Alligator mississippiensis: one gene and its partners. The protein of the gene in region 2 interacts with the protein of the main gene of each other region in a pairwise test. Links are inferred from orthologs where the notes say so. Each region holds a gene or a part of one and is shown on either strand. Other genes may lie near its edges. The genes, in order: ZC4H2, zinc finger protein 777, PLEKHF2 and MTUS2.

What was found.
Region 1: the proteins of zinc finger protein 777 (region 2) and ZC4H2 interact in binary tests that used the Homo sapiens proteins (3 or more experiments, as listed by UniProt). The two-hybrid records come from large-scale screens. The link is inferred for Alligator mississippiensis from reciprocal best matches to the Homo sapiens genes ZNF250 and ZC4H2.
Region 3: the proteins of zinc finger protein 777 (region 2) and PLEKHF2 interact in binary tests that used the Homo sapiens proteins (3 or more experiments, as listed by UniProt). The two-hybrid records come from large-scale screens. The link is inferred for Alligator mississippiensis from reciprocal best matches to the Homo sapiens genes ZNF250 and PLEKHF2.
Region 4: the proteins of zinc finger protein 777 (region 2) and MTUS2 interact in binary tests that used the Homo sapiens proteins (3 or more experiments, as listed by UniProt). The two-hybrid records come from large-scale screens. The link is inferred for Alligator mississippiensis from reciprocal best matches to the Homo sapiens genes ZNF250 and MTUS2.

Annotation. Positions count from the first base shown.
Region 1 is NC_081831.1:63,327,101-63,335,052, forward strand, and holds the start of ZC4H2 (zinc finger C4H2 domain-containing protein), read left to right. Parts: upstream 1-4,845; 5' UTR 4,846-4,973; coding exon 4,974-5,026; exon of another isoform or gene 5,027-7,855; intron 7,856-7,952. UniProt on the Homo sapiens protein: Plays a role in interneurons differentiation. Involved in neuronal development and in neuromuscular junction formation.
Region 2 is NC_081828.1:218,304,747-218,312,262, reverse strand, and holds the start of zinc finger protein 777, read left to right. Parts: upstream 1-4,470; 5' UTR 4,471-4,533; coding exon 4,534-4,554; intron 4,555-4,565; exon of another isoform or gene 4,566-4,829; intron 4,830-4,947; coding exon 4,948-5,349; intron 5,350-7,069; coding exon 7,070-7,196; intron 7,197-7,516. UniProt on the Homo sapiens protein: May be involved in transcriptional regulation.
Region 3 is NC_081826.1:42,918,469-42,925,920, reverse strand, and holds the start of PLEKHF2 (pleckstrin homology domain-containing family F member 2), read left to right. Parts: upstream 1-4,081; 5' UTR 4,082-4,175; intron 4,176-4,663; exon of another isoform or gene 4,664-4,836; intron 4,837-4,889; exon of another isoform or gene 4,890-4,911; intron 4,912-7,452. UniProt on the Homo sapiens protein: May play a role in early endosome fusion upstream of RAB5, hence regulating receptor trafficking and fluid-phase transport. Enhances cellular sensitivity to TNF-induced apoptosis.
Region 4 is NC_081824.1:427,352,749-427,360,361, forward strand, and holds the start of MTUS2 (microtubule-associated tumor suppressor candidate 2), read right to left. Parts: upstream 3,001-7,613; 5' UTR 2,942-3,000; intron 1-2,941. UniProt on the Homo sapiens protein: Binds microtubules. Together with MAPRE1 may target the microtubule depolymerase KIF2C to the plus-end of microtubules. May regulate the dynamics of microtubules at their growing distal tip.

The DNA of each region.
Region 1 (7,952 bases), on a different chromosome or scaffold from region 2:
CTACCAAATTAAAATTAAATGCTTCCAAGATGAAGTTCATTGACATTTTTCAATTCCTCAAGACTAGGTGCTTTTCCTATCTGTCCTAACAGTCTGCCCCAGGCAGAGTCACAACTAAGCCCCATCATTTGTTTGACTTTATGAATAAACAAAAGAAATAATGACACCACATATAGTTCAATCCATGCCTTCTCCCAAACACAGCTGCTGATGCGGATCCTAATTCAGCGTTATTCAGTCTACACACCAGAATATCTGCTTAACACAGGAGATGTGTGAGGACATCTCACCCCTGAAACCTGGTTTCTGCCTTTTATTTCTTCCAACTGCAGGGCCACATTCTACCCCATGACCTACTTCAAATGGTGATTTGTAACTTATTTCAAAATGGACTGAGGGAAGCAAACTGGTATAAACAGGGCCTGCTTTTTCAAGCCCTCCGTATACCACATAAATATCCCTTTTAGGTTAGTGGGAATTGCCATGCATGGAGGGTTTTTAATCAGTCCAAGGTTTTTTAGTCCAACAACATTTACTGAGATGGTTATACTGTCACATCATTATTTCATTTCTGAGATTCGGATTTGCTTGATAGTGCTCCAGGAATGCAGGGAACTTCACTGGCAAATATACACATGGGATCTCTGCAAAGGGCAAATGTAGGCAGAGAACAGCTAGAAACAGCAGTTCAGGAACTACCCTTGGAGAAGAGCAATCTTCTGCAGACAGCAGGAGAACATTAACAGCAGGTTGCGGAAGAGTGCAAATAAACGACAGGGAAAATCATTCTGCTCATTTGTGCATAATTAGGACAAATAGTGTTATCTGCTAAAAGAATTCACCTTTTAAATTATCAAGAGAGATTTGGTCTCATATTCCCTCACAGCAAACTCCCATTTACCTCAAATGGAGTTGAGTGCACCAAGAATGAGGAATTAAGCACCTGGAAAGATCTTTGTGTTAGTTTTGTATGCAGAAGACAGCTCCAGACCGACATGGCTTGTTTCCCAGATCAGTGAAGCTCAGACTTAAGGAAGTAACAAACTTTCCTGTGTCATGAAGAGAGGACCCATCTTTCGACAAAACTGTCTTACGTCACACACGTTAACAACCACATTTTATTTGGGTAAAAAAAATTTCCAAATGATGGTGATACAAACAGTTGCAACATTATTTATCAAGAGTTTGTTGTGGCATTACAATCAAGCAATGCTTGGCAGAAAAGGTGCACGTCCTGAGCAACCAGCACATCTATAGAGACTCCTGAGATACCCTTTTGTTGGTACAACTTGTAGAAAGCCTCACTGAGAGTCAAACATATTCCTCCTCCCCAGCTGGAGATCTACATAGAGAACTGAAGTAGATGGCTTCTCTTTGGCAAAGGTCCATCTACTTTGCCACACAAGTAGCATTTCTGGTGTGGAGTGATCTAACTTTGTGCCCCATTTCCTAATAAGTTTCTTTTTTGCTGCTCATTTATTTCAGATTATGTTTTCTATTCAACGGAAGTATCAGGTGCCCAGGAGAAGATTGTAGCATTCCTTATTATGAGAGTTGTAAATGGCAATGCTCTTCACAACTGGCAATGTTTGACATAAATGCATCATGGAGTGATTGTGAACACAGATAGGTATCTTTAGAAGAAACCTACAGCAGTCAGCACAAATACTCACATGTGACTGGAGTTACCCCTCTGTTACCATGGACATGCAAGTTTTCAGTTAAGTCAACATAAATTTCATATTTGGTTGAAGTTAAGACTATGGATTTAGAGGTGAAGAGCAAAATTAGGCCTGTTTTTTCAAAATAAATATGTATATCCATCACCTGTAAAAATCCAGCTACTTATTTACATACCTGATTTTAGGCTACTATGTTTGAAAATGTAAACCCTAACCTTTCTGTGGTTCTATTTTTTATGCACTTTTGCAAAGCACTCTCAGGATTTCAGAAGAAAAGGGCCATATATGCACAGTATTTATCTTCTGTAGCATCCGCTGTTAAGAGTCATTCAGTATAACAATTAAACAAGATCCAGTCCTGCTGCACATTATTCTTCAAGTAGCTTTTAGTGATTGGATCAGGGGACTGGATATCAGAGATCTAGGTTCAATTCTGAGTTAAAGTTTGGGCAAGTTCTTTAGCTTCACTGTGCCTCAGTCTCCCTATCTGTAAAATGAGTGAAAATAGGCCTGATGGCAACTTCTTCAGCAATCAGGGTGGTCTGGATCTGGCATTTGGGTTTATCCAAAAAAGTGGCATTACAGTACTGCTTGTCTCATGGAATGTCATTAAGCTCAGTTAATTAATATGCATGAAAATGTCAAGGACAGTGTGCCGATTACTGCCTATTATTAATGCAATAGAAAATAAGGGCATTGACTATAATTCTTTTCGCCTTTCTTTATCAGATTGAGCCAAACGTTTCACCTACCCCACAAAGTACACAACACCCAAACTTGCCGGTAAGAGCACAGGCATAATGGGCTGCAAGAGATTTTCAAGATGCTCAGTAATGCATCACACACTTAAGCCTTCTTCTTTGGCAATCCATCGCATTTGAGGATGATTGTCTTCCATGACTGGCTTATCCATGGGTCCGAAGATGGCTTATGAGGCCAATCCAGGATCGACAGGCTTTGCTGCAACTCAGGCACATTATTGCATGTAGAGTGGGTGGCTCTGGATTCTTGATTTGGTCTGAGACACGCTGTTTCTGCCACTCCCACGTTTTCATCTCTTGTTGTTCAGAGGACTGATTTTTCCAGCAGACTCTTCCTCCATTTGGGGTGGTCCTGGGAGATAGTCTTCCACAAGTTGATGTCCATGTTGCATTTTTTCAAGTTGGCCTTGAGGACTTAAGCCTACAGTCTACACAGGATGCAGCCCTGGTTGTTTGTGATTACATCTGGGTGGAGAGTCAGGAAAAAAAAGTAATTTTGATGTGTAGGCATTTTGGAGTAAAATAAGAGAGGAATGTTTCTGCAGGATGGCTGGAAAGTGAAGAGATCTGTCCTTCCCTCCTTTGGGCCTTATCCTGCAAACTCTAGTAAACCCATGCCCCCTGCCTTGCATAAGTAGTTTCACTGAAGTCAGTGATACACTGTAGAACTGGAAGGGTCCTCAAAAGATCAGCTAGTCTACGGGTGTAAAAAATGTGTCCCATGGGCCAGATTTGGCCTGCAGAATTATTTATTCCATCTAGCCTGTATGCTTACCAGTGGGCTACTGGAAACTGTGGAGGCCTGCTGCGGATTCTGGGGATGTGGCCATCGGTGCAGGGGCAAGGGCTGAGCAGATACAGCTCTGCTCACCCTCTGGTTGCCGGCCCACCAGTACTTGGCCCCACCACCACGTCCCTTGTATCCACACTGCCACCTCTGGACTCCCAGTGCTGCAACCATTCTCATGCCCTGCTACTGTTCCTGGCTCCTTGCCAGACCAGCCGCAACCACTTACCTCCCAGATCCAGCCCAGGAGGACCCTATGATTTGGATCTGGTTCAAGATGAACTCAATACCTCTGATCTAGTTGGACCCTTTGCATTAAGATTCCCCAGTTGGACTAGATGATCTCTTGAGGTCCCTTTCAGCCTTACTTCTCTATGAAAGAAATAAAGTGGGATCACATATACCAGACCATCACCAACAGTTGATTATTTAATTTGTTCTTAAAAAAATCCTGTGAAGAAGATCCCACAACTGTCCTGGTTACCTTGTTCCAGGGCTTTGCTATCTTTATATTTAGAAAGGTTTTCCTTATATCTAGCCTAAATCTTCTCTGCTCCAAATGTAGCCAATAACTATTTCTCCTGTTCTCAGTGGACATAGAGAGAAAATGCTTACAGTCCTCTTTATCGCAGCCTTTTTACATAGTGGAAGACCTCGGTTTCCACTCAGGCTTCTAAATTAAACAAACAACGTATCTTCAATCTTTCCCTAGAAGTATTTCTCCAAATCTCTCATCATCCTTGTTACTTGCCTCTGAACGTCCTCCAGTTTGTCCGCATCCTTCTTACTCTTGCGTTGCCCAAAGCTGAGAAAATTGTACCAGCTGAGGCCTTAGCACTGAGTAGTACACAATACTTACCCACCATGTCTTCAATATGCTTCTCCTACTAATGTGTTCTGGAATGATATTGTGGGTTTTTTTGGTTTTGGGGTTTTTTTGTTTTTTGCAAAAATGTTGCATTCTACAACTGTCTACATAGCATCTAGCATAGCGTACCATGGTAGCCGGACAAAAAAAAAATAAAAACCTCTTTCATACAGGATTGGCAGGCTAATTCAGGGTCTGTAAATTTTTTGCAGATCCTCAGAAGGAAGGCACAAAGAAGGCAAAGGGTTGCTTTAAATATTTTCTAGCGTCATATTTGTATTCTCACTTTATTATTTCTTTTCTGTAATTTACACTCATTATGTTGTCCTGAGACCATAAAGAAAATGATCAGGAACCCCCACGCTGTCTCTGGGTACCCTCATGGCAATTAAACTGTCCAATACACAAGTGTGTGGCTGTAGCAATGGTTACAGCTGTGATTATTTTAAAACGTCTTTTCCCGTCAAATCTTAGACTTGTCAAACTCACCCTTAATACTCATATATTTATTGCTGGATTGGTTTAATTGAAATAAAAACAATCCACAAACCTCAGGGAGGAAGTACTCTGCTCCCCTGCCCTCCTAACAACCTTTGACATTATTAGCTGTGACAAATTGATTTAAAGTGTGGCTGCAGGAAGAGGAGTAGGAAATCTCTGCTCTGCCTTGTGGGTGTTGTAGTCTTCCCTGCTTCCATGTGCCTGGGCAACAATAAGGAACTGGACTCTAACTCCCAGAGCTCCTCCTAGATTTTACTGCACAGGCTCAGAGACCATATGCCTGGAGGGGGGTGGCTACATTGTGTCTATTGTATGGGGTTTTCTTTCCTGGCACTTGCACATTTAACAGGAGGTTTAAATTGGGAGTGAAAAGCATGGCTGATGAGCAAGAAATCATGTGCAAACTGGAAAGCATCAAAGAGATCAGGTATGTTTTCTTTTGTGCAGCATCAGTTACATGAAGCTTTTTCTTCTTTTTATGGTATGGATAATGTACACTGACTTGAAAGTAGCTATTGTTATGCTACCAAACGAAAAAAAACCCAACCTCATAGCACCCCAGAAAAATCAGAGCCTTTATGACAGAAGATGGGCATCATATTTCTTTAAAAAAAAAAAAAAAGTAGAAAGCTGCTGCTTTTGACAGCCAGTGCCTGTGGAACCAAATTGTAAGGTGGTGATCATCATGTACTTCCAAAGAATTACCCTCAAGCAATAAAATGAGGGGAAGGAGTACAGTGTAGCAGCGGATGAACCACTCGATCTGTTTAAAGAAGAGCGGCATAAGGATTTTTTTTAAATTCTTGTACACTGCTAGGATGAGATTTTTGGTTGCTTGTTTTTGGTTTGTTTGCAGGTTTTGGTCCCATCCATTCTTAACTTCCTTCTTGCAGGTTGCATAATGCACATATTTAATGGGATATAGAGGAAAAGTGGGCATAACAAATTGCAGGATATAACAAATGCATGTGGAAACAGAAGGGCTGCTCTAAAAATTAGGGAGGTGGGGCTGGAAAGTAGTTTCCAAAAAATTAAAATGGTTGGTGAGCCAGAATGACCTGTTACAGTGTCTGCTTAGCCAAGGCTCCAGGATATATGTACTGCAACACTGTTATAGACTGCAGAGGAATTTGGGGTTTATTGTGGGGGCAGTACAAAACAAAAACTGTGTCCTACAGAGATTTGTTTAGCTGATTTATTTCCCTCTTTCATCCCCATTTTGGAGAAAAGGCTGGGGATGAGGGGGTAGGGTGAAACGTGGAGGTTCTTTTCCAGGTTCTCTTTCTGTTGCGTATAGAGGACTTTGGGGGACAAGGGGGGTGGAGAGATTGTAACAAGGGTGATGAAGCAGGGACATAATAGCTTTAGAGCTGCTTCTGCCTTCCTGAGAGAGGCTACCAGGAAGGCAGGCAGCTGGAGCTCTTCACTCTTCTGTGCCATCTAATCTACCATTAATTTTTATATAGTGTCCTTCATACAGTGAATCGCAGGATGTGATGCAGGGGGAGTCAATCAAACTGCAGTGCATGGCACTGAGCTGGATTGTCTTTAAATGGCATGTTTGCACCTTTTTACTTCTGAACATCGTGGTTTGCTTACTTCCTCAGTTGTCTGCAATTAGCACGGACCTGTGAATTTAATAGCAAAGGCTCATGTTGTAGGGAAAGTAACTGCAATAATTTTGAAAGTAAATGGAAGATGCAGTAAACAGCCCTGGCTAGGATACAGCTGTATATACTTATTTGTGTGTGTACTATGCTGATCCACATCATGGATTGTGTTTTATATTTTTGTATTGAAAAGTTTAAAAGACCAGCCTGAGGGAATCAATAATAAGAAATCAAAAATTGCCAGTGCAGCACAGTCAGCTTTAATCCCCCGCTAACTGATTGATAAAAGAAACAGATATCAAAAGCACAAAATAAGAGCTGGCAGTAATGATAATTTTATCATTATTGCACCTTAACAAAATATTATGACTCTAGTATGATAAGAATTGAAAAGAGAAAGTTATGTTGCTAGGCAAGGGCCCGATCTTTTCTCCTGCAAAGAGTACAAATGAATAAGTGTTGTAAGACCAAACCCCACAAAATCTTTGTAAACGGCATCCTGGAATTCTCTACAGCAAAGGAGAAGACAGCAAATATTTCCCAGACTTCCAGTGATGCTCTGAAACTTTTGTGCTGAAACATCAAGAGTATAATTTTTAAAGCATAGACTTAATTGTGGCCAATCACAGTTCTGTTGAGATTCAATAATTTTAACATAGGATTCAAAATATCTGCCTGATTTTTTTTTCCTTTAGTTGTTACAATAGCTTGCATTCAGCAACATCAAATGCATTCAGATTTCTGATGATGATTATGTCCAAAGGTGACTTTTTACGTGTAGTTATTTAATACACTTTACTATTGTAAGTATTGCCTTTATTGTTCATTGTGGTACCAAGAAAATGACATGAATATCTTTAAAACATTTTTTAAAACAGTCAAAGTGCAACGTTCTGGGTCACGCTGAGTTAAGGCCCATTTAAGTGAATCCTCAGGATTCCCCCAGTGAAGAGAGTGAGAGAATGAGAATGAAACACTCATGACAGATGTTAGTTATGTTGGTTAATGTGCTATTGGATGGCATGTAGATACTAGAGGGGTAAGAGCAGTATAAGCATCTCAATAGAAAAGACAAGAATAGATGCAAGGGCAGAATCAATTAGATAAGTCTGTGTCCCAAAATTAGGTCTTTTATTTTCAAAAATATTTTATATGGCCAGATTTTCACAGAAAAAGTTCATGATCTGGGCATGCTTGTTTTTTAATGTAAAAAATTAATTGCTTGGGTTGAAACAACCCACTGCAACTCTGTATCATTTTGGCAGCACCTAAGTCAGTGATGAGAAATAGCAATGAAACTAACCTGTCTATTTTCATTGTCTTCAAGAAATAAATGGAATATATATTAAAAAATAGAAAGGAAACGTGTTCTTAGCTTCATTAGTCAAAGCTGCTGCTATTACTAAAGATGTTTTAAGTGGAGCCAAAGACAGTGATGAGGTTAATGTCAAATTAATATGGTCTCTGCTTTTAACACGACACTTGCATACAGAAAAGAGAAAATGAGAAAAGCAATTTCCTTGATGCAAATGTATTACATACATTCAGAATAGCAGGTACTCTTATTACCACAGATGAAATTGGTCAGGCAAATCCAGTACATCCTTCTCCAAGTCCTTCTTCAAGAGTTGCTTCTTTTATGATATCTGCAAAAAATAAAGGAACAGCTTACTAGAGAATGACTCCACTTTAAAAAAAATCACATAATGTATATTTAATCAAGCATAAATATTTGGATTGTAT
Region 2 (7,516 bases):
ATCAGGGTGGAGGTTGGCCTCACCTGTCTCCTTAAAGCGCTGATAGTGGCAGACTAACAAATGCTTTGCTTTGCTTACCCTGGGTAGCATGGGTACATGGGGTAGATTTCCATGGCCACGAAAGAGCCTGCAGATGGGATGCCTGTGATCATGCCTTTCTGCTCCATGGCTTCTCTCTGGATTTGCCTGGGGGCTCAGAGAGGGAAGGACATCTGTGCAAGGCTGGATGCTCACACTGGGATTCACCTGTGCATTGGGCTGGGTATCTGTGCAGAGTTGGAGCAGGCACTGCAGAGGGGGCTCCCACACACCTGTTCCCCTGCTGTGGGGAGGAGCAGATGACAAGAGCTACTGGAAAATGACCTGACCTGGCTAAAAGGTCTTGCCCCTCTGCTCAGGGTCAAATCAATGCCCTATGGAGTCAGGACCGGGGACAGGCCCCATCTGCAGACCCAGGGAGGGGGCAGCAGTGCAGCCCCTGGGACAGCCTGAATGGACTAGGGACCTACTCTCTACCCATGGCCAGGCCAACAGCTGGGTGCCCATGGCCCACGCGAATGAATAAGCAGATATTTAACTGCTGGACTCTATTTTCTGTTGGCTAATATAAGTGGAGACAGTCCACTTTGCCAGCCAGTGGCCAACGTCTGTGTTCAGTTCTGAATGGGGGCCGAAGTTTTCATGGACCAAGAACCAGGCCTTTTTTTATAGGGCTGATCATCCCACACAGGCTGAGCACCTGCTTGGCCCACCACTGCTGGGTTGTGGAGTTAGACGTGGTTTCCCAGTGCAGGACCCTGGGTTCTGCTGAGGCTGGAAGTAGCAACGGGTTCCCAACAGCCCCGGGTGTCAGCAACGGGGTCCATGCTCAATCCTGTCCTCTGTGTATATATTCAGCCATTCCCCAAGATTTGCAGGGGTGGGGGGCAGATGTGCACAGCCCTACAGCATGTTCCCTGCTTGGCTCAGGGAGAAATTAGCCCAAGAAGAAGGGAGGTAGAGGATGGTGGGAACACTTGTGACCTGCAGTGAATGAGCAGGAGCCCGCGTGGCTGCTTTGTCCTATCCCCTTGGCGTTTCAGAGGTAGAGAAGATGCCAGCTTGCAGGTGGCAAAGGGGATTAATTAGGGATGCACCTGATCAGCAGCAGGCCGGGCTTGAGCTATATAAGCCCTGGGCCTGAGAGGGGCTGGGTGTGTGATCAGGGGATGCAGGCACACAAAGCAGGGCTGAGAGAGAGCAAGACCAAAGAAGGTTTAAAGACAAGAGGAGTGTCTGAGTGTTGGACCTGGATGTTCAGGAGCCAGGCAGCGAGTAAAAGTCAGACCAGATGGTCCACAGGCCCCGAAAAGGGCTGAGAGCTGGACTAGAGGGTCCACAAGTCCAAGAGGGGCTGCGAGCTGGACCGGAGGGTCCGAGAGCCCAGAGGGAAGGGCTGAAAGTATTGAGGAGCCTGGCAAGGGGCTAAGCAGGAGGGACCTCAGATGCCACCATTGAATGATAACATCTGCGAGGCTTGGGGTGTGGTGTAGGGCAGAGCGGGGCCAAGCAATTAGCCCTTTAGGCTACTGGTGCCCTCCAAAGGCACGAGCAGGCTGAGAGGGCCTATCAAGCCTGGGGGGTGAGTTGAGACTAGTATGGCCCCTTTGCCAGGACCGAGGCTCACTCTAAGGCCTGTGGGCAGCCTCCCTTAATCAGCCTTTAATGAGAACAAGACATGGCATCCAGGGAGGGTGACATTAGAGTCCAAGCCGGGCAGGAGCCACACAGCTGCCCCGTGGCCTTGAACTGCTACAGAGGGGGTTTGCCGTGCAAGAAAAGCAGGGCGCAGGGCAGCGGGACAAGGGTGAGCCTTGAAAAAAGCCAGCTAGGTCGGAGGTGCAGCAGCCGGCTCTCCCAGCACAAAGCAGCAATGGGATGTGCAGCAAGCCCTTACTCCAGCCGCATCCTGGGCCCTGCATAGACCTGAAGTAAAAACACATGACGAAGCCAGTGGGAAGGAACGGACTAAGCCTGGGGTGGGGTAACAGCAAACCAGCAAAGGCATGAGATACGGTGTAACAGCAAGGGGCGAGAAAGGCCCCTGGGGGAGGCTCTCTAGATTAATTTGGGAGAAAGAGGAAGGCAGAGGGCAGTGAAGGTCTGGTACTGATGCCAAGGAGGTATTTGGGGCATGCTGGGCTTCTGTCCAGTCAAAAAGGCTAAGTTAAAATGTAATGTTAATGAGGAGATAAGAGTATCGGCCAGGAGGGGAAATAAACAGGTTAAGGAGCCTTCGGTGCAGTCGGGTCAGCAGGAGCTGATGAAATCCTCCCTCGGGTAGTCAAAGAACTAGTCCAACTGATCTCTGAACCCGCAGCGATTATCTTTGCAGTTGTCCCAGACCAGGGGAGAAGGGCAAAAAACACAGTCCCTGTTTGTTTAAAAAGGGGGTCCTAGCAGCCTCGGAACCAGATGAACAGAAACGAGCCATTCATGGCTCAGAGGATGGACGGCAAAGCGAGCTTTTCAGGTTTGCAGATGAGGCCAAGCTCCAAGCAGCCCCAACTACATCATCCCAGCCCGGGCTGTGTCGAGCCGGCCCTTAAAAACCTCCGAGGATGGAGATCCCAGCACCGCGCTGGGTGACTTGTTCCAGTGCTTCACCACCCTCCTAGTGAGAAAGTGTTTCCTAATATCCAACCTAATCCTCCCTTGCTGCAACTTGAAACCATTGCGCCTTGTCCTGTCTGTTAGCAGGAGCATTGTGCGTGCGACACTGGAGACGATCGCTGCACTCTGCGGGCCTCGCTGTGCCCCCGCTTCAGAAACAAAGAGAGTGCCGGCAGTCCAGAGCAACAAGATGGACGGGGGGCTTCAAATCAAACCAGCTGGAAAGGTTGAAGGACCTGGGATTGTTTCGTCTGGAAAAGAGCTAGAAGGAAGCATGCGTAAAAAAAGTGTATTGTCAAGAGGACAGCCATCGGGGAGGAGGGACGGCGGGGGACACGCACAAAACTGGGTGAAAACCAGCGCTCCAGACTAGTTACCGGTGGTTTGCTGTCAAAGCAGGACGGCATCTCAAGGGAGGCCTGCCCTGGCCCTGGGTTTATTCAGTGTTTTCACTGAGTAATAAGGATGATGATGAGAGCTTGGGAAATATGGCTGGGAAGAAAAGGCCAAGAAACAGAGTTTTCCTGTGAAAAAAGCAGGGCAGGGGGTATAGAGCCACAGAGAGAATCGTAGGGTAAAAGGGGCTTTTGGGGGTCCATCCTGTCCAGGATCGTCCCTGACTAAACCATCCCAGACGAGTGTCTGTGCAGCCTGCTCTTGCAAAAGCCCAGGGATGGGGACCCCACGGCCTCTCCGGGCAGCCTGTTCTGGTGCTGAACCACCCCCAGACAGGTTTGCCCTACCCCCCAACCTAGGTCTCCCCTTGCCACAGTTCAGCCCATCGCTCCTTGCCCCGGGGCTATGGCCATCCTCCACAGAACAGCCCCATGGAAATGCTGGGCCGGCGTGCACGGGGGGGTTCGCCTTTCACCCTGTGGATTCCTATCGGAAGTCTCGGGGCTCATCGTGTGAACCCCGGTCGCCCACCTAGCAGTGCTAACGCCACGTGGCACCCTTGAAAGGGTGGCAGCCGGGTTGAAGTGAAGTAGGAGGAGGAACCTTTACATCAGCAGGGCGGCAATGGAGCAGGCTCGGGGCCTCTTCTTTAGGGCAGGCTTCGGGGAGCTGCTGAGACACAGGCTTGGTGCGTGGAGCAGGCAGCTGCCAGCTCCGCTGATGGGATTCGTGGGCAGAAGGCACTGCAAAGGGACAGCGGGGCCGTTCTCCTTCCTCGCAGCCTCTCCCCGGGGTGTCTGGCGCGTGCACGAACAACCCTGTACAGCAGCAGGTCGCCGGCGGCTGCGGTCCTCCTGCTCTCCCTGGGGCACGCGCGGGGCGATGCCTGCTGTGTCTGGGCTGGCTGTGTCGTGCTGCTCAGAGGTTGGGCAACGGTTTGGGTCTGGGCTGGTTTGCACGGGGCTCGTCCTGCCGCACGCCAGGGTTGCACCGGTGTCACTTCTGCAGCTCCACGTCTCCGTGCTTCAGCGAATGCAGAACCTTGGCCCCCTTCCCGGGACCGTGAAACTCTTCTCCTCACCTGCCGTGGGGCAGGGGCAGGGGCAGGGGCGGGGGCTTGACGCCTCTCTCAGAGATGTGGAGGGCTGCTGCAGCCCAGGCTGGGGCTGTGCCAGTGCTCCTGCTGGCACCAACCCCGCAGGTCCTGGAAGGAAGGGATTTCCCCCTGCCCAGACTGGTCTGCACTGAGGGGGCGGGAAGGGATCTCCCCTTGCCCGGGCTGGTCCACACTGGGGGGGTTTGCCCCGTTGCACTGGGGCAGGAAGGGATCCCCCGGCCCAGCACGGCGGGCCCGGGACAAAGCGGGCGGCGGCGGCGGGCGGAGCTCCGGGCCCTGCCCCTGCCCCGCGGCAGCGCGGACACACGCGGCGGCGGCGGCGCCTCCGGCCGGCAGGCGGCGCCGTGGTGCGGTCGGGCCGCGCAGCCATGGCCGGGCGCGCCGCGGAGGTAAGCGCTGCAGCGCGGAGCATCCCCGGGCGCGGGGCGCGGGGCCCCCGGAGCGCCCCAACTGCGCCGCGCCGTGCACACGTGCCCTGCCCCGCGCCCCGCACCCGCCTCCCTCCCTCCCTCCCTCCCCGCCCCGCTGCACAGCTGGGCAGAGCATCGCACCCCCTCCCCTGCCCTCCCCTGCCCTGCCAGGTGTCCTCTCCCCCGGGGGTGCTGCCCCACCGCCTCGCCTGCGGCACCCCCTTTCCGTAGCGGTGCGCAGGGGAAGGTGCCAGGTCGGTCCACCTTTGTCTCGCCGTGCCACGGTCCCTCGCCGTCCGCTGGGTTGCGGGAAGCCCTAGCCCGAGGGGTGGGGTATGGACTCCCCCAGAGACGAAGTGTCTGTGCCCGCAGGTTTCGGCGTGTGCCAGGGACGCCAGGCTCCACCGGGCTCTGCAGCCCTCCGTGGTCCTCAAGCGGACGCCGGTGGGAGCCATGCGTGGCCAGCACGCGGCGGGCTCGTTGGGGGCCGTCATGGCCACGCTGGAAGCGATGGAGAAGAAGGTGGAGTCGCACGCGGTGCGCCTGCTGAGCCTGGAGGGCAAGACGGGGGCGGCGGAGGAGAAGCTGGCCGGCTGCGAGAAAACCGTGGTGGACTTCGGCAACCAGCTGGAGGGGCGGTGGGCCGTGCTGGGCACCCTGATCCAGGAGAACCAGCTGCTGCAGCGGCGCCTGGACAACATGGAGAACCTGCTCAAGAACAGGAACTTCTGGATCCTGCGCCTGCCGCCCGGCACCAAGGGGGAGATCCCGCAGGTAAGGACCCCCGGTCACAGGGCCGTAGTAGGGTCACGGAGAAGTAGAGCTCCGGAGGTCACCTCTAATCCAACCCCGGCCTCAGCCCCGTCCAAACCATCCCAGACAACTCCATCATCTCGACTTTGTGTAAGACTGACCTCAACCCTGACACGACACCGACCGAACACCCGAGCCTGCCGCAGGGAAAGCAGGGAGACTGCGGCGGTCAATGTCTCGCCTCTATAAAACCTGCTCGAGAGGTTCTGGGTAGGGGGCTATGCCCCGCTGCGGAGGAAGGGCCCTCCCTGCCCCCAGTCCGCACCCATCTGACCACGGGGGAAAAGAGTCCTTCCTGACCCCAAAGATGTGATTGGTCTGACCCTGAGCAGAGGGGCAAGACCCTCTAGCCAGGAAACCTTGGCTTTGGTCCCGGCAGGAGAATTGGCACGCCCCCGTTGAAGTTCCCACCCTTAGCTGTAGCCAACACCCAGCGCCTCTGGGGAGGCTTAAAAACACCCTGACAACAGAGGAAAAAAAGGGAGTAGACAGCAAAGCCCAGAAGCTTGGGAAATACCTATGGTAGAAAACAGGCATCGCTACACCTAAATTGCCCCCAACCAGTGACAGCCCAGCATCTTCTTAAACGCCTCCAGTGATGAGGAGTCCTCTACCCCGTTTCTGGGGTTTTTAGGCCACTGCCTCACTGTTCTCACAGTGGAAATGATTTTCTGGATATCCAGCCTCAATTGACTTTACGGCCTTATATCAGCCATTCCCAACGGGCGTTTCGTGCATGGCAGTAGGGACCTGAGTCTGCTTTATGCAGCGAGGAAAGGTGGAGGCGTAGTGCGATAGCTGCAGGGTGGCAGGTCGTTCTCGGAGCCCAGCAGTCAAGCTGGCGATGGCTTGGTGCGCGGGCTGCTGCGGCAGGCCTGGGGTACATCTGCACGCATCTCATGCTGGTTGCCACCTCGTGCGTGGCCGAGGTGTGTGGTCTTGAGACCAGATCCCCAAAGGCATGGGGGGTTGTAGTGCTGAGCCCCTGAGGTCTCCAGCCTCATGCTGGGTGTCTCAATGCAGCGCTTGGGGGCAAGTTGCTGACCAGGAGCTCGGTGTGCTGGTTGCTGACCAAACTGAGCTGGAGATGCAACGGGCAGAAGACAGGCTGGAGCTTCGGTACTTACCTGTGCCACCAACATAGCCAGAGATCAGGGCCTTTCCCTCTGGCTGGGTCCTCAGCAGTGACGCCTTTCCCTGCTGTTAAGCAGCTAAACCCAGTTTTTGTCTGAACAAAAAAGAAGTGGAGAAGCTGGGGTGCTACCCCACATCCACCAAAGGCCCCATGGTTAAAGCACTGCTGGAGTGGGGGCAGACAGCTCGTCCTGCTTTGGTGGGGACCCGGTCACGCATGCGTGCGCAGCATTGCATGTCTGTCTCCTGTCTGTGCAGCATCCAGTGTAGGTGGGCTAGGAGCAGGTTGTGCTGGTGACAGGGGGTGGCTTCGTGCCTGGAGGTAGGCAGCAGGCCCTGGGTGGCTTTGAACAAGCTGGCTTTTGCAAACAGATGACCTCAGGGCTGGGTGGCAGCTGGGGGAACCTCTGCAAAATGGGCCAGGGCACCCCGGATGTGTCTCGAGGTGCATTTGGCTCAATTGAGCATGCGGTGAAATGCAGCCCCTCTCTTATGGGCATGCAGGCTGTTGTTGAAGCTGCTGAGCGTGTGACCTCTGTGCTTGCAGGTGCCAGTGACGTTTGACGACGTGTCGGTCTACTTCAATGAGCAGGAGTGGGAGAACTTGGCCAGCTGGCAGAAGGAGCTGTACAAACACGTGATGAGGGGCAACTATGAGACCCTGGTCTCGCTGGGTGAGCATTTTGTTTTACTCCTGTCTGGGCAGCTGCACTTGGTACGGGCTGGCTCGGGGTGAATCTGCGGGGCCTTCTGGTTTCTGGAGGATTGCAGGCAAGACCTGTTAGGCCATCAGACCCACACGACAAATGCGGTGGAAGGGCAAGCTGGGTAGGATCTCGCCTCATGTGCTCTCTGGGGTGAGCTCTATAGAGTTTAGGACTGGAAGAAATTATTGGGATCATCCAGCCCTGTGACGCTCCATCCTGACTCAGCCAGGAACCAAAACACTAGAGCAAGAGGTGAAGTGTGGCAAATACGCTGCAGTTCGAAAGAG
Region 3 (7,452 bases), on a different chromosome or scaffold from region 2:
TTCTGTTTTCTGTGGAAAAATGCATATTTTCTCAAAATTGGGAAACCTTGGGTTTTCCCTTGCAGGCTGGCAGAGTTTTAGCCTGCAAGGGGTGGGGGAGTAGGGTTAGGGTTAGGCAGTGTGGTGGAGAGCACCTCCTACAGCTCCCTGCAGGTAAGCCTATGGGAGTGGGGGGTGGGATGGGAGCACAAGTGATGCGTCGGAGGTGGAAGGGCACAGATAATGTGTCCCCCAGATTTCTGTACCCACAGTGAGGCACAGGGCTGCAGTGAGAAGCGGAAGGAGAGGGAGCGCTGTGCAGCCATGGACACCAAGGTGAAGTGCCCCCTGCCCACCCAGCAGCAGTTGGGTGCACAACTCCATGCTGCTGCCCCTGTTTCTTTCCCCACAATGTGTTGTTTGTGTCCACACCCCGCCTTCCCTGCACACTCACCCCCTTCTTCCCATACTGGGGCCTGGGGGGAAGTGGGGTGGGGCACTAGCAGGGCTGGGGGAGCTGTGGGTCGGGAGTGAGGGACACTGGTATGGGCAATGGCAGGGCACCCATATATAAGGGTTGCTCAGAACCACGAAGCAGCAGGTGGGACAGCTGCAGCTGGACTCGTGTTCTGATGAATGAAGGGGGTGGAGCTCTGATTTTCCATGATCAAAAATCCAAAATCAAACACCAAAATATTCAGGTATTTAGAATTTTATTATAATGACTGAGTCACTGGTAGGCTTCCAAATTGCTCTAAAATTGTAAATATATCAATAAAGCATAGTGTTAAACTGATACCTATATGTACCTACATAGGGAGGGTGTGTGTGTGTGTGTAGTGGCATTTAATTTCATCCTAATTGTGGAATAATGCAGATTTTACATTTTTATCAGAGAACTTGGGGTTTTTTATTGGAGAATTTGGGATTTTTTTTAAACAGAGAAAACCAGGATCCCTGCTAATAACACTGAAACCAGGAACTTTAATGGACTAATCGTTCCCTTTTAACTTCTCTCCATTTGATTTTATAATTTGAAATGACCATAGATTAAGGATTTGGGGCTGTTTCCTTTTGCTATTCAAATTAGCTGAACATGACAGCTAGATAATTTAAACCTCACTACAGTTAAATGAAACTTAATGGTTCAAACTGTTGGTGCAGTTTATTTCACAAGCACAGACTTGTACATGCTGATGAGTCAGGAGGCTGTGACACAGAAGTCATACCTTTGTATATCATCATTGTATCACAGGAAAAAATATCAAATCTCTAAACTTTTCACAGGCAACAAAAGCAATTTTAAGACCCATGACATTTCACATCACTTACACAAATACCTTTGTAAAATTCGTGTGGTTCTAAACTTATCCAAATAGATGATAAACCTGAAGCTAATGAATACATCCCCTAGAATAATAAAGGTTGAAAAATATTTCACAAAATTGAAATGGCAATTTAAATTAGAAATATGGGGCTATTCTTTAGGAAACAGGATTTTATTATTTATGTGGTATTTTTGGTATACAGGATACTGTACAACAGATCAGTGTTTCTTAGCTGTTTCAGGTTGGCAAGCCCTTACTCAAAGTGAAAAATCTTCATGACCTGCTGAAACATGTTATAAAAGTAAAAGGTTTATAACATTTATAATAATGATAATTCTTCTGATGAATACTTCTTGTTTTGAATGGTAAAGGTGTGCAAGGAGTAGGGGAACAAGATACTGCTTACTTCTGATGCATAACAGAATTTTCAACACCTTCTGATCACTTTTGTAGGAGTTGCAACCCACCACCTGACCAACACCACCAACCCACCACCTGACCAACAACCACCAACACCACCAACCCAAAACCACCACACTGTAAAAGATCATGGTTTTGTAACTAGGTGGTGCAACTACTTTCCAGACCAGTCACCTTGATCCAGCCTAAATGAGAGCAGCATGTTATATGGAAAAAGTTTAGAGAACTATGTATATAGATGAAGTGTCTTGTACAGTTACCAGATCCTGGATCTGAGAATCTTACAATCCAAAAGGCCTAGCTAGTACAACACAAAATGTGAGTGCTTCTCAGTCTGATTACCTCAGGAAAAGGGGTTCTTTAGAAGTTTTATTGGAGAGGGAATGAGCTTCACATACATTAGATGGAAAGCTATTCTGGGTGGCACCATGCCATAGAAACCTCAGTCAAAAATGGGCAAAACAAAAGATGTGTTAAAAGGCAATCCTGTGGAGGATATGAGGGCATAACATCTTGGAAGATAGTACAAATGCTTACATTTAACAAAACAGAAGCTGACAGGGGAGGATCTGGGGGAGAGCACTGGTGCGCTTGCACCCCACTTTGATTACTGCTCCAGCCAAAGTTTAAAACCACCTGCCTGGCAGTGGCGGCAGTATTTCTAGTCAGGCAGTGCTGAGGGAGTCAATGGACTTCATGGCTCATTATAATCTACCGGATCCTTTCTAAACTCTTCAATCCCCAGCTGTTACCAGCCCTCTTCTTTTTAATGGTCTTCATGTTCCACCAATCAAGCTCTCCTTTGTTCTGCAATTCTGGTCTCTCCACAGCCCTGCAGATTGTATTCAACTCACTCCAACTAAGATATATTTGTTTTTGTTTCTAATAGAAATGGAATCATACAGCCTTAGACCCCTAGTGTCTTAATAATGCTATTTCTTAATGTAGTCTATTTCTAACTGGAGAAAAATTGTGTTATATGTGATGATGCACCTCACCATCTGCACACCCCTTTTCAAAATCCTAGAGCTTGCCACGGAAGCTGCCATAAGACATGCAGCAAAGAGGAAAGAGGGTGAGGTGAGCAACGGATGCCCAGCAAGTTTCACCCACGATAATCCATTTCTCTTCGGCAATTGGAAGTGATCAAAGCCGTCCCCTGAGGCCGTATCAGGCACTTGGGGCTCAGCTCCAGCAGGCCTTTTGATGCTATGCTGTTCCAGAACGTGGGACACAGCCAACGGAGCAGAGCTAGAAGCCCCCACTCAATGAGGATGGCCACTAAGGACATGTCAGTGACCGCTTGGGACAACCAAGACAAAACAGCGATGGGGGTGAGGGTCACAGGTTCAAAACGAGTGCAGCCAGTGGGGACAGGGAGCAGAGGACACCGGACAGTGCCTACAGGCCCCTGAACTAGTTGAAGGAGCCAGTGGACACTGCCTGGAGAACAGAGGAGGGATGGGAAAGCGAGGTGATACTTCCCCTCTGTGCAGCACTGGTCAGGCTGCAGCTGGAGCATTGTGTCCAGTTCTGGACACTGCACTTCAAGAGGGATGCGGATAACCTTGAGAGGGTCCAGAGGGCCACTGGTATGGTTAGGGGCCTGCAGGTAAGATCCTATGAGGAGAGATTGTGGGACCTTGAATCTCTTCAGCCTCCACAAGAGACAGCTGAGAGGGGACCTTGTGGCTGCCTAGAAGTTCACTGGGAGGGGCAGCAAGGAATAGGGGATACTCAAGTTTGCCCAGGCACCCCTTGGGGTTACTAGGAACAACAGCCACAAACTGATGGGGAGCAGATGTAGATTAGACAACAGGAAAAAATTCTTTATGGTGAGGGTTGCCAAAATCTGTGATGGGCTCCCAAGGGAGGTGGTGCTTCACCAAGAGCTCAGGGGGTCTTGAAGAGGAGGCTGCACAAGCACCTGGCTGGGGTTGTGTGAGCCCTGCGCGCTTTCCTGCCCAGGCCGGGGTCGGACTCCATGATCTCCTGAGGTCCCCTCCGACCCTACAGCTATGAAAGTGGCGCTGCAGGCCTGGGGGGTCCTCCCTCCCTCCAGCCTGGTCAGGTGTACCGTGGCCAGGGCCAGGTGGCCCAGGAGGGCCTGGGGGTGCATAAAGGCGCAGGCAGCCAGTAGGGCTGCAGGGAGCCGGACACCCTCCCGCAGGCCATCTCCCCAGCCGGGCCGGGCCGGGCGAACCGCGCTGCGCCCCACACAGGCAAGGCCCCGCGGGCGGACACGGCCTCCCCGCGCCCGGGGAGAGCAGCCGCGCGGGGAGGCGGCCCTGCCCCAGCCTCCCCAAGATGGCGCCGGCCCCTCCCCTGCGCCCGGCCGGGCGGGGCCTGCAGCCAGTCCCAGAGTGGGAGCCCGGCGGGGCGGGGTCGGCTCGGCTGCCCGAGCGGGGAGCGGAGCGGGGAGCGGCGCGGCAGGACGGGCCGGGCCGGGTGAGTGTGGTCGCTCGCGCGGGACAAACTTTGGCTGGCGGCGCCGTCCCTGCGCGGGCTCCGCGGCCATGTCGGGAGCCCCCGGGGCCGTGGCCGTGGCTGCCTCTGCCGGGCCCTGCGCCCCGTGGCCAGGCGGCCGAGGCTCAGGCCCCGCCCCGCCCCGGGGAGCCGCTCGGGAGGAAAAGGCTCCTCTCCCTCCCGGCCTTCAGGCAGCCCCGCTCGGTCCTTCGCCTTCCCCTTCTGGTCCCGGGCCGGGCAGCGGCGATGGGGAGCCGTGGCCTGCAGCTCCCCGTGCCCAAGCCCCGGCCGTACTGAGCAGCCCGGCTGCTGACTCCGCGTCCCCGCTTTGTGCGGTCTGTAGCCCGGGACAGGCCGGGCTGGAGGAGTCGCAGCAGGAGCAAACTGCTGGTGGCTGGGGTGGGTCGGGCCCGGCCCGGGGTGGCGGAGCCCAGCGCGGGCGGGCGGGCGGCGGGAAACGCCTTCACTCGAGGTCGGGCTGAACGGATGAGTTGGGAACGGGGGAGTGACATTTCCAACAGACCCGAGTAACGCGAGGTTGGTTCGAGCATGGCACGGCACGGCACGGCACGGCACAGCTCGGCTCGCCGCTTCCTCCTGGCTTCCGAGTGAGAGAGAAATCCAGCGGTAGCTAAACTTTCAGGTCACTTGGAGAAGTTTGTGGGGCGTTAACAGAGTTATTTTTAGGAATCTGGGGGCTTTCTTCCTACAGTAGACGGTGAGGATTGCGTTGCTGCCTGGCTTCGCTGTATGAGCTCTGTAGTGCTTGCCTGTGTCAGTAGTACCAGCGACTGGCATCTAGCTCTGAATTAAGCCTTTCATTTTAAAACTGTTTAATCTAAATATTACATTTTAATAAGCAAGGAGCTGTTAAGGAGATTAGTGCAAAGTGAGAGTCTTGTTTCCACTGTAATAGCTCACTTTACACTCCAGCTCAACTCATTTTCCAGGTGTCTGAGGTGTTTCAAGCAGTACAGATATTGGCTGTAAATATCATTCAGAGAAAGTCCAGCAGCCTAGGACATGGTGACTCTGAAACCCTATCATCTTTGTTGGCCCCAGATTCCTGGCTCTTGCATACAAAATATATCTCGGGGCTTTGGAAGCTTTGAGGAGGTTGCTGCTGTATATGAAAGTAGATGGATGGAGTTGCTTGAATTATAAATGTAATACTGATGTGTAGAGGCTTGAGGCAGGAGTGGAAGCTGCTGCTGCTGCTTCCTTCATGTCATTCAGAGTTAAATAGATGAGTATCTTTTTTTGTAAAGATGTACCTAACAGTCTGAAATTAGAGGGGAAACACATTTTGTGAAGAGGGATTAATTTTGTTTTTTAAATTATAGGCTGCGGACTGGGACATAAATTCAGGGCTTGCTACTTTCTTCTGCATTTTTCAACCTGCTCCAGCTTCCAGATTCCCAGCTGTGTATTAACTAATTCTGTTGATAATCACTTTAATGGTTATATTCAGATGTTTTGGTAGGCCTTTAATGGAGGTGAAAAATGCATAGGACTTGATTGTTTTGTATCAGTCTTGTCTGGACAGCAGTTTGGGTGCCTTCACTGAAGACATAAAATTGTTTCGGGCTGTGCTTATGGTAGAGCATGCAAAACGGGCTCTTTTGTGCACTCTGGTCACAATTATCTTCACAGCTGTGAAGGCTAGATACTCGAAGTTGAAGTAGAGCATGTAGATAATAACAGAGATGATTCGAGTATGTTGAAGAAAATATGCCTGTTGACTAAAATATTTGAAATGCTGTGTAGTTGTAATTCTGACACTTGGTCAAATACATTAACTGGGCTCTCAGTATTAGGGTAATGCTGAGTTAGTTAAACTAATGGGCTGCTAGTATGTATTAATGAAGACAAGTAAAGAAACTTCAGGGTTGGCTTCAGCCAGACATGTTTGCTTACATCTAAAATATTCTCTGAAAGATGTCTTGCTTGTGCGAAAGAAGAGAAACCAAAAATAAAAACTGAGCAGTACTCTAAATAAGTTTTGTTCTACAGCAATGGGCTAGCTAGTTTTTAATAGACTTCAGTATATTTAATATTCAAGTTTTATTTTAGTTCACATGATTTGTAATACCAGTTGTCACTTCCAAATATGGCATTTGTGTGTGCTGGTAAATTTAATGGTTTAACTTAATTTTTAAAATGTAATATATATTTTTGTTTGAAAAGGTAAATTATGCAAAATATGTTTTTAAAATGTAATCATAAGTTTTAAAAAGCTTGTCCTTCCCTAATCAAATATAAAGTTGCTTTTGTTCCAAGGGATTTAGTTCAGCACTTATTTTTGTAGTGGTGGGAGTGAAGTGGATAGAGAAACTTATCTGTAGACATGTATGGAAGATCATGTTTATAAAAGCATTAAAATACTCTTCAGTGTGGTAAAACAAGTGATGACAGCTGCTGTAGCAAGTTGAGTCCTGCAGATTGCTAATTTGAGAAGTTCTGCTAAAGGAATTGGGGCTGCTTGTGTGAATAAGACTTGCTTTACAGTTTACAGACAGTCATGAATTATACTGCTGCGTACTTATTTTGGCTCTTAATTTTTTTTACAGTTAGGTCAGAGTTCATAAAGTTGCTACAATATAAATACCTTGGATCTTATGGTGTGTCTTTGCATACATACTACTGTAGGTAAAAACAAAACTTGATAGTAACTTAAGAATTTTAAAAATTATTTTTGAAGTTCAAATATTTCATTTTATAGGATTGTTAGTCACTTGCTTCAATTACTATTTTCTTTGTTCTAAATAATAAGCCAGGTAGGTTTATTTATCATATATGCAGTTCAAAGTACTTTATGCATTTTGTATAAATGAATTAAACAGTGAAATTAGTGGACTTTAAATACTGGAACTTTTTTTTCCCTAAAATATAGTAACCCTAGGAGAAAAGAGAGAATTTACTGGAATACTGACTTGTAGTTTCTTAAAGTTTTGTATTAATTTGGATAAGTGTTCTTGTAGGACAGGGGTGGGCAATTATTTTGGGCGGAGGGCTGCTTACTGAGTTTTGGCAAGCCATGGAGGGCCGCATGATAGGCAGCCAGGGGCCCATAAAAATTTAGAAAATTAATATTTTCAGGGCCCTGCATGTGGATAGAATAGCCTGGCAGGCTGCATCCAGCCCCCAGGCCACATTTTGCCCACCCCTGTTGTAGGATGTAAGGGTGGAAAGAGCTGCCAAATCATTTAGTCTAACTTTTTATGATAGGTCCCTTAAATTTTTGCTTTTTTGTGGTCTT
Region 4 (7,613 bases), on a different chromosome or scaffold from region 2:
TGAGGGAGGAGGAGGACTGGGGCTGGCATTGCCCAGCTGGGGCAGGGCATGGGACAGAGCAGCTCACCCAAGGGGTGCAGGGAGGGAATGGCTCATCTGGGGGGCACCCCCTCCCTCTCCACAGCCCCTGGACGAGCCACTTGCAGCTCCGTCCAGCGCCCTGCCCCAGCTAGGCAGCATCTGCCCCGGCCCCACCCCTCCCTCACGATGGGGGCCTCAATCCCCCCTCCCCCCACACACACACACACACCCCCCTTTCCTCCCCTCCTTTACCCCAACAGACTTACCAGCTGGACGCTGCTCTCCAAGTTGCTGGGCTGGCTACATGATTGCTGCAGCTGTGTGCATGCACACAGCATTTATCAGCACCATTACTGGCCACATCAGCCAAAAAAAGTCAAATGCTGATAATGTCAATGTTCTTTTTACTGGTGCTGATATGATATAGACTGTGATGCATCTGTGCACCTCTAATTATCATAAATCCTCTCCTTAAGGATCTATTTCTCTCCATAATAAACTCTGAACTTAATGAAGGTTTGTGAATTCCACTCCAGGAGCTGGACAGCTACATCCCTCAGTGTATTTAGGTCTCAGTTCTTTGCCACAGATTCGTATAGAAATACAGGCATTAGAATAAGATACCAGTATTAAGACACCTTAAAAACAAACTGAACTACTTTGCTTTAAAAAAACCCATTACTTACACAAGTATAAGTTTGCAGAACTGAAGCCAGGCACAGAATTCTTTCCCATCAATCAATTAACTTTCTACTGTTTTTCTCAGCTATTTTTCTTTTTCAGATACAAACATCCTGTTTAATAACCTTAACTGCAGTGTGCAGGATGATAGTAACATTACAAATATAGTAATTTAACAAATGTTTGAACAACACATGAAAAACTGAGCATTTTTCAGCATTCTCCTTGGCAAACCTATTCATTTTTTCCTCCTTTGGCTGCTGCCTCCCTCTTAGCTGACACTCTCACTGAGATGTCACCTAGATCTTTTCTTCCTAAGAGGTTATAGCAGGTCCAAAAGCCATCAGTGGGTATGAGTAGCTTAAATTAGCTCTTTCAAACTGCATTACTTTGTGCTTGTCCGATCATGTGACAGTCACTAAGTTTCATTAGAAACAACAATTCTGGTCCTAGAGCTAATCCCTGGGGCATCCTCTATTAACCCCAAACCAAAAAAAAAAAAATCATCAGCAGCCCTCAACTCCCATTCCGCACTTTTTATCTCTTAACTGATCTTTACTTCTTGAGAAAATTACCTCTCAGTGAATGGTTACCAAGGTCCCTGAATAGCCTCCTGTAATGTACAGTGTTAAGAGCTTTTACAAAGTCTAGGAAACTGCTGCTTTCTTCCTAAATATCATGGCAAATGCTATTTAACAAACCTCTACTATCAACCATATTAAGTTATACATTAGCTGCCCCCCTTTCTTTATCTTATTAAAAAGACCAGGTATTGCTGGCACCATGAGAAATATTTGACAAAAAACTTCTGGAGCATATCTAGTAGCATTTCACCTGTGAAGCTGTCATGTTTATTATTAAAGTCTCCACAAGTGCCATTAGCAAAACAACAAATGCAAGACATGCAAAAAAATCTCACCTCAAAAAAATCCCACCATAAACCAAACAGACAAATTAGAAATGATGATCAAAATCTGACTTCCTTTTGTTGACCTGTTTTTAAAAAAATATTTCAGTCCGTAACCAGAACGTGCTCCCATTCCTCAACAGATCCAAAAAAGACAAGCTGTATCTATCAAAAATCAAATCTACAAATATTTCAACAAGCAGTGAACTAAATAATAGCTAAAAAATTATGATACATCTAGCCATTTAAAAAACCCCTCCCTTTTTGCACTAGATGCAGTCAAGATTTTTCTCTCTCTACCAAACTCTTTATACAGATGTTTTTAAAAGATATTGATCATCAGAGAAAAAAAAAAAGGTTTGACAAGGAGAGATTTGACACAGAGCCAAAATATAAGAGTTAAATATTAAATACTACATAGAAACTACATGAAAAATCCAAATGGCACAAAAACTAACCCTGTATAAAACCTCACACACATAACACACTTACAATAAAAACAAAGACAAAAAAGGCATTTCTACATCCTTTTACAGCTCAGCGCAGAGCGTCTCAAAAGTGCCTGTATCATACACCTATCCATTGCAAAAATCTTACCTGTATACAAGTATTTCACACTTTATTTTGCTACCCTTACACTAGTATCAATACCTATTGCTAATACGCAACTTGCTGAACTATAGGCATTAATAAACATTCAAAGCCTTCACGTAATGAGCTGCAAGAGCTGTGCTGGCGTATCCCTACCGTTACAGTGACCCGAAGGACAAACACCTCTTGAACCCTTCCCAGCGCGAGCGTTTTGTCCAAGCCCACGCTTCTAAATAGTGCCAGCAGAGACATGTCAGCTGGGGGCTGCGAGCGTATCCCACCCCCTGGCTCACGCAGCGAGTTCAGCAAAATTATTAGCCACCTGCCTGCTCGGTGCCGACAGAAACGGTCTTCTCCCCGCTCCGGTTACCTTCAGGAAGGCGGCTTCCGATACACAGCCCGCTGTGGGCACACGCCGTGCCCGCACTAGGGAGCGAGCCGGCCTGCCTGTCCTCGCTGAGACCCCGGCGCAAGCACCTGAGGACGGGCGGCAGGCTCTGGATCGGATGCCCACCACAGCTCCCCACTCACAGCCTCTGACTCAGAGAAGCCGCTTTGTTATCGTGGGCGATTCCTCGAGAGAGGCGCTAGGCGCCACGCGGGACGGCCCGCGGGGGGAGCAGACACCCCGGGCAGCGGGGCCCCCCCAGCAGCGCCCACCTGGGCTGGCGGCAGGGACCCCTGGCCCCTCGGACCCGCTTCGACACCAGCGCCCCGCGGACAACTTCGCCCTGCCCCTACCTGGAGCCGCTATCGCCGTCGCCGCCTCCGCCGCCCCCAGCACCAAACGCCGCGGCTGCCGAGAGCCGCGCGCACTGCACGCCCCGCCCCGCCCCGCCCCGCCCCGTGCGCACGGCAGCAGCTCTCCCTACAGGCTCGGGGAGCAGCCGCCCGCCGCTGCCTCCGCGCCGCCAGGAGCCGCAGCGCCCCCTGCCGGCCCCCGCGCGCGCCGCAGGGGCGCCGAGCCCGGCAGGCTGCGGCCAGGTGCCACGGGAAGGGCTGGCCACAAAAACAAATTCCCAAGTGACAAAGTTGGGGAGGGGGAAAGGGAGGCTGCGGAGCCTTGTCATTGCTGCCTACCTCTTCCCTGGGCTGGGCCTTGACACAGACCCGCGGGAAGGGCAGCCCCCGGCCCGCCTGCCCCAGCATCCTGGACCAGTGCAGAATGTAACCATCACGTGGTCAGCGACGTGTTGGGGCCGAAAGCACCCGCGACCTGGACTTGTATGAGATGAGATGGGGGAGCCACGAGGGGCCCGATCTTTGTCGTGGCAGTGTGGCCCCAGGCCCTTCTCCACCAACCGCCCCGAGGCGCGTGCCACGTGGCATGTCTTCGAGCGCCACGCTCTTGGAGGGTGCCTGCCCCTTCCTGAAGCGGCCCTCAACCCTGACACTACCCAAGGCACAGCACCCCAACTTGCCACAGAGAAAGCAGGAGAGCCAACATCCTGCTTCTTAATGCATGCTTGAGAGATCCCGAGGTCTTACCGTCCACATCCCCCCGCCACAGGAAGACAAACCTCACCCCCAGTTGGTACCGGTCAGGAGAGGAAAATTTCATCCCCGGATACCAGGATCGATGTGACCCCAAGCTGAAGGTCAAGACCCTCTAGCCAGGAACCTCCCACTTAGTGCCAGCAAAAGCCATCACAATCCCCAGCCTTGGCCGCAGCCAATGCCCAATGCTTTTTCTTTACTTATGGGGATTTTTCCCCATCTTTAGTTTTCCCTGAGCCTGAGGAACGGTGTGTGTGCCCAAGAGCTTGCAGAAAAAGATCATTTCTTTTGTAATTTCTTAGTTGGTCTAATGGGAGGTATCATCTCTGAACCAAGAGTTCTAGAGTACTGCATTTCTGTTCTTGACCTGGAAGCTGAGATATATGTGACCATCTGAGTTCAGGGTTCTAAGGCAGTGGTTCTCAACCCCTCCCAACTCAAAGCACCCTTCAGAATATGCCAGCTCTTTGTTTTCACTCATCATTTGACTAAGGAAAAAGGATCTTTTTGTCCCCCTGTTTCAAAGAACACAGAGAGATAATAAAAGGTCAGAATGTTTTAACTGTGTGGATTCCTATTTGAAATCTCTGGGTTTATCTTGAGAATCATGTCTGTACACCTAACATTACATGGGACCCTGCAACACCCTTGAAGGATCTCAACCCCCCCCAAAAAAGTGCTGCACACCCCGGTTGAGAATCACCGCTTTAAGGAAAAGAACAAGCACACTGTATCACTTCAGACAGATCTCAAGAATTGGCCAACCACTTTCTGGAATCCCTGAAATAGCCATTCTGCCCTGACATGTCAAGAAGGGTGACAAATCCCACTGTCTTTGAAACAGGCACTTCCGTCTGGTCTAAAGTAGTCTGGGTTTATTAAACTTCGGGGCAGCAGTGCTTTTGGCCCCACAGGCCAGATGAGTGGCAGGAGGCCTGTCTGTGGGCCAGATCAGGCCCTGTGCACCAGGATCCAGTCCCATACTACCCAGATCAACCCCTATTTGGCCTCATGCTGCCTGGATCAGCCTCATGTGCCCAGTCTAACAGGCCAGATTTGGTCCCAGAGCTGGAGGTTGAGCACCCCTGCTTTAGGGTAATCTCTTGATTAGAGACATAGAAAACTTATGGTTAGAGCCTACTGCACAAGCCCTTTTCAAAATTCCAAGTTTCTAATTTCACAGAAAAACTAGGAACATTTAGTCAAGTATTTCATACACCATCACCATTTAAATATGGCTATATGAATATGTTTATATTATTTTTCCCATGTAATGAGTATAGTTATAAGTGCAAGTTGACATCTGTACATACAAATGACTGAGCTGTAGTGGATTATTTTATATGGACCCAAGGTACCAGCTTTCTGAATGCCAAAGTAAAATGTGTGTCCATCCTCTTTCTCTTGCAGAAGCTTTACTACACTTGAGTCAAGAAAAATTAAATAGGGTTTCAAATACAACATTTTTGGAAATATTACTAATGAGGAATGCTTTCTGCTGCTTGACTGGCTACTCTCCAATTCTTGTCTCCCTTCAGGTTTTTTCTTAAATATGCAAAACACCACCAAAAAGCCCTATCGACCTAAGCCCCTCTTAAAAATTCAAATAATAATCTCCACACCTTCCCTTATTTTTGCTCTGTCTGAACTCTTGCCCAGTGTCTTGTTTTATCTGGCTAGGACTGTAAGCTCTGTGGGATAGTGTGTCTTAGTTACATAGTTCAAGTTCAGTTTACAATACAATGTCAAAGTTATTAATGCGTTTATTCTTTTACTAGTACAGAGCCAGCACCCATTGTTCCAATCAACTCATAAAACATGCTGTATTGAAAAGACAGGATGAGAGATTCACAGATTCATAGATGTTAGGGTCGGAAGGGACCTCAATAGATCATCGAGTCTGACCCCATGCATAGGCAGGAAAGAGTGCTGGGTCTAGATGACCCCAGCTAGATGCATATCCAACCTCCTCTTGAAGACCCCCAGGGTAGGGGACAGCACCACCTCCCTTGGGATCCCATTCCAGACCTTGGCCACTCCAACTGTGAAGAAGTTCTTCCTAATGTCCAGTCTAAATCTGCTCTCTGCTAGCTTGTGGCCATTATTTCTTGTAACCCCCGGGGGCGCCTTGGTGAAGAAAACCTCACCAATTCCCTTCTGTGCCCCCATGATGAATTTATAGGCAGCCACAAAGTTGCCTCTCAACCTTCTCTTGTGGAGGCTGAAAAGGTCCAGGTTCTCTAGTCTCTCCTCATAGGGCTTGGCCTGCAAGCCCTTAACCATACGAGTGGCCTTTCTCTGGACCCTCTCCAGGTTATCCGCATCCCTCTTGAAGTGTGGTGCCCAGAATTGCACGCAGTACTCCAACTGTGGTCTGATCAGCGCCTGATAGAGGGGAAGTATCGCCTCTTTGGATCTATTCATCATGCATCTGCTGATGCACGATAAAGTGCCATTAGCTTTTCTGATGGCTTCGTCACACTGCCGACTCATGTTCATCTTGGAGTCCACTAGGATTCCAAGATCCCTTTCCACTTCCGTGCCACCCAGCAGGTCATTTCCTAGGCAGTAGGTGTGCTGGACATTTTTCCTCCCTAGGTGCAGCACTTTGCATTTCTCCTTGTTGAACTGCATTCTGTTGTTTTCTGCCCACTTGTCCAGCCTATCCAGGTCTGCTTGCAGCTGTTCCCTGCCCTCCGGCATGTCCACTTCTCCCCATAGCTTTGTGTCATCCGCAAACTTGGACAGAGTACACTTCACTCCTTTGTCCAAGTTGCTGATGCAGACATTAAAGAGTATCGGTCCAAGGACCGAGCCCTGCGGGACCCCACTGCCCACACCCTTCTAGGTCAAAACCGACCCATCCACCACGACTCTCTGGGTGCGACCCTCCAGCCAATTCGCCACCCACCGGACTGTGTAGTCATCCAAGTCACAGCCTCTTAACTTGTTCACCAGTATGGGGTGGGATACCGTATTGAAGGCCTTCCTGAAGTCTAAGTATATGACATCCACCCCTCCTCCTGTGTCCAGGCATTTCGTAACCTGGTCATAAAAAGAGACTAGATTGGTTAGGCACGATCTGCCTGCTACGAACCCGTGCTGGTTTCCCCTCAGCATAATTTGTCCTGCCGGGCTCTCGCAAATGTGAGCCTTGATAATTTTTTCAAAGACTTTGCCAAGGATGGAGGTGAGACTGACTGGCCTATAGTTGCCCGGGTCCTCCTTCCTCCCCGTCTTGAAATTGGGGACCACATTGGCCCTTTTCCAGTCCTCCAGGACTTGGCCTGTGCGCCACGAGCGTTCAAATATTCCTGCTAGTGGCTGTGCAGTGATGTCGGCCAGTGCCTTCAGCACCCGCGGATGGAGCTCATCTGGGCCTGCCGACTTAAAGGCATCCAGTTCTTCCAAGTGACTCTGCACCATCTCAGGGTCTACGCATGGTAGTCTGGCATCCTGCTGTTGCCTCTCTACAATCCCAGTGAGAGACTTGTCATGCCCCTCTCTTAGGAACACTGAGGCAAAGAACTAGTTGAGGAGTTCAGCCTTGTCCCCCCTGTCCATCACCAATTGCTTCTGCCCATTTAGTAGGAGTGCTATTCCTCCCTGGGCCTTCCTTTTACTCCCTATATATCTAAAAAACAATTTCTTGTTATCCTTTACTTGGGATGCCATCCTCAGCTCCATGGTAGCTTTGGCCCGTCTAACTGCCTCCCTACAAGTGCGAGCAGAGGAGGTATACTCCTCTTTGGTGATCTCTCCCTGTTTCCACTTTTTATGTGCTCCCCTTTTGGCCCGTAGGCTGCCCTGGATTTCTCTGGTCAGCCAGGGAAGTCTCCTGGCCCCTTTCCCTCTTTTTCCTCGCATCGGGATTGTCTCCCTTTGTGCCCAAAGGATCATTTCCTTAAGGCACAGC